Canis lupus familiaris: one gene and its partners. The protein of the gene in region 1 interacts with the protein of each later gene in a pairwise test. Links are inferred from orthologs where the notes say so. Each region holds a gene or a part of one and is shown on either strand. Other genes may lie near its edges.

Region 1 (3,361 bases):
AAGCCTGGAGGCTATTTCAGAGATGAGACGAGGAGGAAGGCATGGCGGATTCGGGCATGGTTCCAGGACCGCCAGGGCTGAGACGGCGGGGCGGGGGGGCGCTAAGACTGGGGTGACAGAAGAGGCCGGGGAGCCCCTCGGGGGTGACACTTAGGGCTGAGAGAGCCAAGCTGAGGACTCGAGTTTTCCTTCTAGCAATGGGGAGCCATGGCAGGGTAATGAGCACGAGCATGACAGGTTAGATCTGTTGTCGAGGAAGAGCATCCTACGAGGGGATGGGGCCAAGGATGAAGATGGGGCTCCATCAGGCACCCCTGGGGGGATCCAGCCAGAGAGGAGGCAGAGGCTGGGCAGTGGGGAGGCGGGCCCGAGGGGCTCTCGGGGGTAGGCCGCCTGGATGTGGACGCGGACCCAGAGGGCCGTCAGGCTTCAGTGTCTCTCCCCGGGGAGATGTGAGCCTGAGGTATGTGCAACAGGGTGTGAGCAGAGCCGGCCGGCCGAGAATGGCCTGGAAGGGGTGCTGTGGGTGACCCGGGGCAGAGGCTATGGTGGCCCCCGAGCCCCCTCTGCTGGCCCGCGTGCCCACCTCCCAGCAGGTGCCACTGCCTCCGGCCTGCAGCCCTCTCCGGAGCCTTGCCCTTAGCTGCCGGGAGCGGCCTCACTAGAGAGCCCGGGGGGCGGGAGAGCCGATGGCAGGTGACAGCCACACAGCCGCCAGCCTCCACGCCTCCGGCTGCAGTTCAGCTCTGCGCCCCCACAGCGAGGGACGAGGGTGGGCCGTGCTAACGCCAAGGCGGGAGGGGGCAGTGGAGCCTACCCACAAGGGACGAGGTGGCCAGAGCCGCCACGTTGTAGTTGCTGGAGCAGGACCTGGAGTCGGACAGGTAGCCGTTGGTGGTCTGGAAGCACCTCTGCGGGCAGGAGAGGAGGGGTGAGGAGGGTGGAGCAGACCCGCCAGATGCCACCTCCCCGCCACTACCATCCCCAGGAGGCCCCCTCCCCAGGGGGCCTGCCCACTCCACAGGCCCGACCCCCCCACCCCGCTGCTGCCACCAGGGCCGCCCCCCCCATGGCACCGCAGACCGATGGGCGATGGTGTCAGCTGCGGCTGACAGACGGGGGTGGGCAACGTGCACTGACCTGCCAAGGATCCCAACAGAAATCCATCTGTTTGTCCTAAAACAAGAGGAGAAAGAGGGTCAGGCAGGGCCTGGCACCCAGTGCCAGCAGCTGGCACACGTCCCGGAGCCCCGGGGGGGTGGCATGGGCCAGCCCTCTGCTACTCCCTGAGGCCCTGGGTCTGGCTCCTCATGGGTCCTGCCCTGACGTTCCCTTCTCATGCAGACAAAGACGTGCGGCAGGGGATGGGCCATGGCGCCTCTGCCAGGAAGGCAGAGGGGACGGGGGTAGATTAGATCTGGGTTCGAGTTCTGACTCTGCCCTTTCTACCTGGGTATTCTTACACTAGTGCCTTAGCTGCTCTGAGCATCCGTTTCTTCCTCCGTAAAACGATGATAAATGCCATTTATCTCAGGGGTTGTGGTGAAGCAAATGACATAACGTGGGCAAAGCGTCTAGCATAACACCTCGCGTGTGGCATGTGCTCAAAAAAAAAAATAATTATATGAACCAGTAGGTTTAAGCCACAACCTCTGGGGGTGGGGGTGGAAACGACACACCCCAGGAGGATATGAGGCCCCTCACCAGCTCTTCCTGATACATATGGAAAAAGAATGCCACTCTTGGGGAGCCTGGCGGGCTCAGTCGGTAGAGCACGTGGCTCTTGATCTTAGGGTTGTGAGTTTGAGTCCCATGTTGGGTGCAGAAATGACTTAAATAAATAAACTTAAAAAAAAAAAAAAAAGGACGTCTAGGTGGCTCAGTGGTTGACCGTCTGCCTTTGGCTCAGGGTATGATCCTGGAGTCCCGGGATCGAGTCCTGCATCGGGCTCCCTGCATGGAGCCTGCTTCTCCCTCTGCCTGTGTCTCTACCTCTTTCTGTGTCATAAATAATTAATAAATAAATAAATAAATAAATAAATAAATAAATAAATAAATATTAAAAAGAGAGAAAGAGAGAGAGAATGCCACTCCTTTACCCTCCAGAGGGCAGGGCAGGCTGCTAAGGGGTGGTGGGCTGGTCAGGGAACTTGTTATCTGCAAAGCTGAGTTAATTTGGGTGAAAAGACCTCAAAGGTAGGATTCTTCTGAACAAGCCTGGTCCAGTCCCTGGATGCCCAGCCCGATTCAGACCTTCATCCACATGCATACCACACATCAGGGACTCTAATCCCACACCAAGTAGCCCACGAGGGAAAACTGGAAGAGTCTGGGCTCCCCGTGGAACAGTGTAGGGGACATCCCAGGAATCAGGGCCCAGGCAGGGGTGAGGGTGAGGAGCAAGAGGGACCAGTTACCTTGCCAGTGACATGGTCTGGAGCAATAGTAGGTTGGTGCCCGGAGGGCAAGTCCGGGTTCAGGGGGTCCGTGCCCTGCGGCATGGGACAGTCCTTGTGGGCACTTGTGAACAGATCTGGAAAAACAACGACAGGAGGAACTCAGAAAAAAACAAACAAACAAAAAAAACCATACTTTCCTCCTTATGAAGCTTGTTCAGGCCAGCCCCGAGGGATGGGCACTACTTTGTTGTCACCTGATGAAACAGGGTGTCGTCGTGTAGGAAAGAGACCCAAGCCCACGGCACGTGAGGCGTCCAGCCAGATCTGCCCCTGCCTGGTGCCCTCAGTGGGAGTCCTTCCCCCGCGGCCTGTTCTCCATTTTCTTTAATTCTAGCACCCCCTGGGCCAGCCACGACCACCTGGTCCAGCCTACAAGCTCTCCTCCACAGATGCCCTCGACTCCCAGCCCCGTCTGGTCTCACCCTCTGCCGGCCCCCAGCCCGGGCTGCATGTCGCTGGCCTCACACGGGACGTGGTCGGGGATCCTTCTACACGGCTCCAGGCCCCGCTGTTTGCTTCCCGTCAGGCTGCCTACCCGTGCGGCTCTCCTTCTCAAACCCCTGGGGGACGGGGAGCAGCACCCTGCCTGCACCTGCTGCTGGCTGCTCTCCCTCCCTCACTGAGATCCAGAAGCTTCCACAGGCCTCGCCCCACTTTCCCACCTCAAATCATCGCCCTGGCCGCATTTTGCCCAGACCATCTGCTTTCCCTCCTGTGACAAAGGAAGAACTGTCCCTACTCCATCCAAGACCAGCTCCCCTCGCCCTGGCGGCCCCCCCGGCCTGGCCTGCCTCCCCCCACCACTGCCCTGCACTCTCTCTCCTCTCCTCTGCCCATCTGCTGTGTCTCCCTCTTGGTCCCCAGCGTGGTGGCCGTAGTGTTTCTCCAGTCGGGGCTCTTGC
Region 2 (3,500 bases), on another chromosome or scaffold:
GAGGGTGTCTGCTTGTAGATGAGTGGAGTCAGGGGAGCTGTTGGGTCACCCCCAGGGATGGATATTTCCTAGATGTCAGATACGGTGGCCTGGAGTTCAGTAAGAGGCCAAGAGGGAGAACAGAGCTAGGGTTTTCCCGGAAGGCAGGCAGGAGTAGGGAAGGTCTATTCTGGATGAGAGGAGCCATAATTTGGAGAGGGTGGCAGGGATTCAGCTTGGGTGTTCATCTGGACTCTTCCACTGACCTGCTACGTAACTCCGAGCCAGCTTTCTCCTTTCTCCAGGTTCCAGTTTTCACTAAAATAAGGAAATAGCTTAAAGGGACTGCCAGCATCCTTGTGCCCAGTGTAGCTGTCCTGGACTCCACCTCCAGGTTCCTGAAGATGGTATGCCTCCCCCTCCCTGGCTTCTCCTGGGAGCATGGAGGATTCCACATCCTCTGGGGGTGGTAGGTAGAGGAGAATGTTGCTACTCCTGCTGCTACTTGATCTTCCTCAAGGCCCCGTGGAGGAATCTGAGGCCCAGAGATATCCTATAACTAACTGGAAGCCACCTAGCAAGGGAGGGGGCATGGAAGAGACCAATCTCAGATCTGGTTGTTCAGGGCACTCCTAGCAGTAGGGATGAGAAGCCACCATGCTGGCATGCAGCGGGCTAAGGAAGTGGAATCCTTCTGCTGGCCCGACAACTTCCTTTTCCAGAGTATCTTCATGATTGGTTACCCCGGGGTCAGAGTCTGGTGCCCTTCCAGAGAGACCCCAGACAGGTCAAAGTTACCTCTTGGGCCATGTCCTAGGAATCTCAGGCTTCCTAGGAAACTCAGGATATTCCTCCCATGGAGGTCAGACGAGAATGTCCACCTTCAGGGCCTGGTAGGGCCTCGCTCCCGATATATCCTGGGGAGGTCCTATGCCTCCTGCAGAAACTGCCTCCATCACAGGCTACACAAGCGGCTTCTGTTCCAGTGGGGAACAGAACCTGCTTCTCAGCAACACCACCTCCAAATCTTTTTTTTTTTTTAAGATTTTATTTATTTATTCATAAGAGACACAGAGAGGGAGAAGCAGGTTCCCTGTGCCTGATGTGGGACTCATTCCCAGGACCTCGGGATCATGACCTGAGCCAAAGGCAGATGAGCCACCCAGGTGCCCCCATTCAGCCCCAAATCTAAGCATCTGCCTCAACTTCTCTGTACACCCCCCACATTCAGTCACCAACCCAAGCCTTGCCACCACCTCTCCTAACATGTCTCAATCCATCCACGTCATCCCACGGCCTCTGCCCTAGTGTCACCATCTCTCACCTGAACTATGCAGCAGGCCCATCTCTGCTCTCCATCTTCCCACCACTCGGCCGTCTTGCATACTGTAGCCAAAGGAAAAAATTCTAAACACATTCCTTCTCTCTCATCCCTGCACCTAGTTCAGGACCTGCTGCTGAAAGCGTCTGTTTGTGCACTGAATGCTATCTTCCTAGCCCTTGCTTTAAAATCCCTATGGGTAATGGCCAAGCCCCTTAGCATGGATGGAAGGCCCTTGACAATCAGCCAGCCACCTCTTTGACCCAAGTATGAGTTACTGAAGGTTGGCCCGTATCTACTTTATCCCCATCATGGAACAGGACTAGCACCCACAGTCAGCCTCAATAATTGCTCAGGGACTGAATGACTAATGAAAAGCAGGATGAGTCAAGGCCTTCAATGCGACTAGGACTTCTATTTGTACAGAGGAAGGAGGGAGAGAAGCTTCCTGCTGGGGTGGCTCCGAAAGCCTCGAGGGAGAACTTGGGAGATAATGCCGGGGGGGACACATGAGGAACTTTCCTCAGGTCCCTGGGTGGAGAAGAGCCTGCAGAGGCGGCTAGGGGCTGAGGGGAAAGCTCTAAGTTGCAAGGAGACGATTAAGACTCTGTTCTAGGGGTGTGGGGAGCTCTGGCAGGTGTACGCGAGAGAGGGAAGGTATGCAGGAAGACTGTGCATCAATCAGCACCATCAGGGAGAAGGTGGGGCGCTGAGACCTGGGGGCGGAGATCCTAGGTGCTGGGAGAGGAAACCAGCTGTGAGGAGGGGGGTGCTGCTGTGGAGAAAGGAGCCCTTGCCATTGTGGGGTGCCCGTTGATAGGGGGAGAGATTCCCGTCTGTGTTGGGGCCGGGAGGCAGGACCTCCTACGGAAGGCGTGTAAACCATAGGGCCTAGCTCTAGGAAGGTGGGCTTGTTGAGGGCGGTGGTGACACACCCTGCTGTGGAAGGATGGATCCTGGCTGTGGAAACGTAGGGTTTGTTATGGGAGGGGTTGTTGTGGAGAAAGGGAACCCTGTCCTATGGGGTCCTGGGGGATCGCTGCTGAGGTGAGGGCCTTGCCCTAGATGGAACTGAAGGAGGTCCTGCCCCCCAGGCCCTGCCATGGGGAAGACCAACAGCAAGCTGGCCCCAGAGGTGCTGGAGGACCTGGTTCAGAACACCGAGTTCAGCGAGCAGGAGCTGAAGCAGTGGTACAAGGGCTTCCTGAAGGACTGCCCCAGCGGCATCCTTAACCTGGAGGAGTTCCAGCAGCTCTACATCAAGGTGGGCGGGCCGGCGGCGGGGGCGGGGCCAGGGAACTCCAGGGGGCGGGCCGGGGGGCGGGGGCGGGGCCAGGCAATCGAGGAGGCGGGCAGGGACAGCAAGGCTGGGGCTTCTCCCCAACGTTCCCTCCACGTCTTAGTTCTTTCCCTACGGCGACGCCTCCAAGTTTGCGCAGCACGCTTTCCGCACCTTCGACAAGAACGGCGACGGCACCATCGACTTCCGGGAGTTCATCTGTGCCCTTTCGGTCACCTCCCGCGGCAGCTTCGAGCAGAAACTCAACTGGGCCTTTGAGATGTACGACCTGGATGGCGACGGGCGCATCACGCGCCTCGAGATGCTGGAGATCATCGAGGTGCGCTGGGGCTGATCCGGGGAGGCCAGGTTGTGCTGGGGTGATGCCCCTCCTTGTCTTCGAGGCAGATCCTCTCCAGTCCTCTCCAGGCACCCTCCTGTCGGCCCTCAGGAGCATCCTGGATGCACTCCACCTGTCCCCACACCCCGCCTCCCAGGACCCAGTGGCTAACTAGCGTTGGTTGGGTGCACAGTGTAGGACAGACCTTGTACTAAGTGCTTTGCCCAGCAATCCTATGGGGTAGGTACTAACAGAAACCCCATTTTACAGAGGAGGAAACATAGCAAGTGATGGTTCCTGATTCAAATCCAAGGAGTCTGACTCCAGAGCCTAAGTTTCGAACTCATTATTTTTTCACCGAATATGTATTGAGTGGCTACCTTGAGCCAGGCACTGTTCAAAGTTCCTGCTTAATTATTTGGACACTCTTTTAGTGAGAAGATTTAAAAGCAACAAGAAAAAAACCTGTGCTATGTCAAACAGAAAGTGTTATGAAGAAGAGAAGCAAAGTAAGGGGAGGGAGAAGGATGGAGGAGCAGTATATGGGGTGAAATGTGAGCAGCAACCTGAATAAGGTGAGG
Region 3 (2,823 bases), on another chromosome or scaffold:
CCCCACCCGAGGAAGCTTGGAGCCTGTGCTGCGCGGCTTCCTTTCTTCCCTGCCCGGCCCCCAGTTGCGTCCCCCGACCCCCGACCCCCGTCCCCCGTCCCCGGACCCCCGTCCCCGACCCCCGTCCCCGCGCAGCGCTGGCAAGTCCAGATCCAAGCCCCCGGGCTCTGACGCCGGCGCCAGGGCTGTTCTCAGACGCGGGGCTTCTGCCCTGGGCTTAGCGCGGCCCTGCTGGGCGCCCCCACTTCCTCAGCCAGCTTTCCCCTGGTTGCATAAGATGCTGCCCGTAGCTCCTCTGACATCTTACAAAACTTTATCGAGTTATAATTTGCAGACCATAAAGTCGCCCATTTTAACTGGACGATTAAATGATCTTTAGTGAATTTACCAAAGTATGCAGTCATCCCCATAATCCAATTTTAGGACGTTTCCATTCCCCCAGTAAGACCTCTCATGCCACCTGCCTGTTCCTGTTACAGACTCAGATGACTCGGCTCTTCTTTGTCTCTATGGATTTGTGTCTCTGGACATTTCATATAAACAGAATCAGACAATATAAGTATATGGCCTTTATGCCTGGATTCCTTTTTTAAAAGAATCTATGTTGTAGGATTTATCAGTATTTTATTCCTTTTTGTTGCTGAAATAGTATTCAATTGTATGGATCTGTCATATTGTTTACCTGTTTACCAGTTGATGAGTGCTGGTGCTGTTTCCACTCCTTGGCCATTATTAATAATGCTGTTAGAACATTCACCTGCAGGTCTTGGTGTAGATGGGCATTTGTTTTCCTTCAGGAAGTTTCCTAAGAAAGTTGTTTCTATCTAGGACATCCCCATGTTGAGAATTACTTGCGTACAGTTAAGTGAAAGTCGGAATTCTTTAACTTATGAACAGAGTCCCTGATCCACAGATCTCCCTAAACTAATCTTTCTGGGCTGAACATTACTGGGCCACCTTGCTTGGTTGTCTTAGCAAATGATTGTAAGTTCCTTATCAGTTGGGACCACATTTCTCTTTTCCTAAATCTTCAAGGGCTACTGCTTGGTGACTTTCATCTGCACTTCAAACCCAGAATGTTTAAAACCGAGGTCATCATTTTCCTCCTGAGTCTTCTCCTCATCCATTAATCTTGCACTTACCACCGAGGTACTCTGTCTCCCCACTTCCTCCAACCTGGGAGTCGGATGAAATTCTTTTATGTCCAGTTGGTCACAAGACTCACACATATTTGATTATATCGCTGTCTTATTTAAAACGATTTAGGAATCCTTTGAAGTAAATTTAAATCTTTTATCATATCATGGGAGAACTTTACGCTCTGTTTCTGGTTTTCCCAAGGCTATCTATAAGATGGTAGGCACGGTGATCATGATGAAGATGAACGAGGATGGTCTCACGCCTGAGCAGCGAGTAGACAAGATTTTCAGCAAGATGGATAAGAACAAAGATGACCAGATTACACTGGATGAGTTCAAAGAAGCTGCAAAGAGCGACCCTTCCATTGTATTACTTCTGCAGTGCGACATTCAGAAATGAGCTGAGGTCAACGCTATGGACTGACAAAAGTCTCAATGTTCCATTCAGTCTGCAGCTATTCACACACATACACACACACACACACACACACGCACACAAATATTGCTTGGACTACCTATCAATGGACTTGCTTCTTGTGTTTGAAACACTTGTGTGCATGAGAATGTCATTTGCTAATGAATTTTAAAAGCATATATTATAAAACAAACAACCTGCCACAATGTGATATGTGTAACATCATTTCGTAAAAACCCTTCTCCCTTCAAGCCTGGGCAGAAATGTGCTGCAAAAAGTTCTATGGTTTCTTGTTCATGTTTTGCTAATGCTCGTGTCTCCTTGATTACATGTTAGTAGCACTGAGACCCCCCTGGTAATGTAACTTAATATAAGCTGTGTCACCATTCTCGTGTAAAATAGTACTGGACAGGCACATGGAGAGGCCTTGGCTTCCCTGTGTGGTCCGCACTCAAGAGCTTGTATTATCAGTGAAGATAAATGTGCTACCTTTGCATGCCTTTTAGGTTTGCCTTAACTCTTACCTCATTTGCATTCTATCAATCTGGAAAGAGCTATGTTGGAATTACTGCAGTATAAAACTTAAAAATCCTGCTACATGACTCATTAATTAAGTATATCTCTCTATATATACATATACACAAAGATATTATTTATTGAAAGTAAAAAAAAAAAAAGCTGGAAGTGTATTGATTTCTGCTTGAATTTTCAAAGGCTCCCAAAGAGGTGGCAATAGATGTCCCAAATAAATTTATAACATTTGACTTTCTCCCTCAATTCTTATTTCATAATTTTAAATCTGAAATGGATGTTCATGATTATCAAGGGTCAGCTAGCAGCAGCTTAGCAAATCTACTCTGAAATACACAACCTCAGAATTCAGAGAATTAATGACAACGAAATGGAGAAAAGCAACTTTCCAACTCTACATCCTGGCCCTCAAAAGAGGGGCAATGAACATGGTAGGTGAAGTTTAAATAAAACATGAAACTTCTTTGTTCTCAAAAAAATACCCATTGTATAAAATTAAGTTTCATCTTAATGTGACTGGGTGCTAGCGACACATTACCTTCTTCCCATGGTGTGGAGGACACATGCAGCCAGCTGAGAAGTGTCCTCCAAAGGCAGCCCGTAGGAAAGAACACTGCTTTCTTTCCAAGTCAAAAGTATACTAGTTGTTATTTTTATTTTTAATTTTTCTTTTCTTTTTTTCTGAGAGAGAGAATGGGGGAGCGGCAGAGGGAGAGAAAAATCTTAAGGAGATTCCAC

What was found.
Region 2: the proteins of FAM131C (region 1) and HPCAL4 interact in binary tests that used the Homo sapiens proteins (3 or more experiments, as listed by UniProt). The two-hybrid records come from large-scale screens. The link is inferred for Canis lupus familiaris from reciprocal best matches to the Homo sapiens genes FAM131C and HPCAL4.
Region 3: the proteins of FAM131C (region 1) and VSNL1 interact in binary tests that used the Homo sapiens proteins (3 or more experiments, as listed by UniProt). The two-hybrid records come from large-scale screens. The link is inferred for Canis lupus familiaris from reciprocal best matches to the Homo sapiens genes FAM131C and VSNL1.

What each region holds. Positions count from the first base shown.
Region 1 is NC_049223.1:81,089,184-81,092,544, reverse strand, and holds part of FAM131C (protein FAM131C), read right to left. Parts: intron 2,534-3,361; coding exon 2,418-2,533; intron 1,177-2,417; coding exon 1,141-1,176; intron 912-1,140; coding exon 818-911; intron 1-817.
Region 2 is NC_049236.1:3,269,783-3,273,282, forward strand, and holds part of HPCAL4 (hippocalcin-like protein 4), read left to right. Parts: intron 1-284; exon of another isoform or gene 285-386; intron 387-2,394; coding exon 2,395-2,564; intron 2,565-2,703; coding exon 2,704-2,919; intron 2,920-3,500. UniProt on the Homo sapiens protein: May be involved in the calcium-dependent regulation of rhodopsin phosphorylation.
Region 3 is NC_049238.1:13,155,319-13,158,141, forward strand, and holds the end of VSNL1 (visinin-like protein 1), read left to right. Parts: intron 1-1,341; coding exon 1,342-1,539; 3' UTR 1,540-2,323; downstream 2,324-2,823.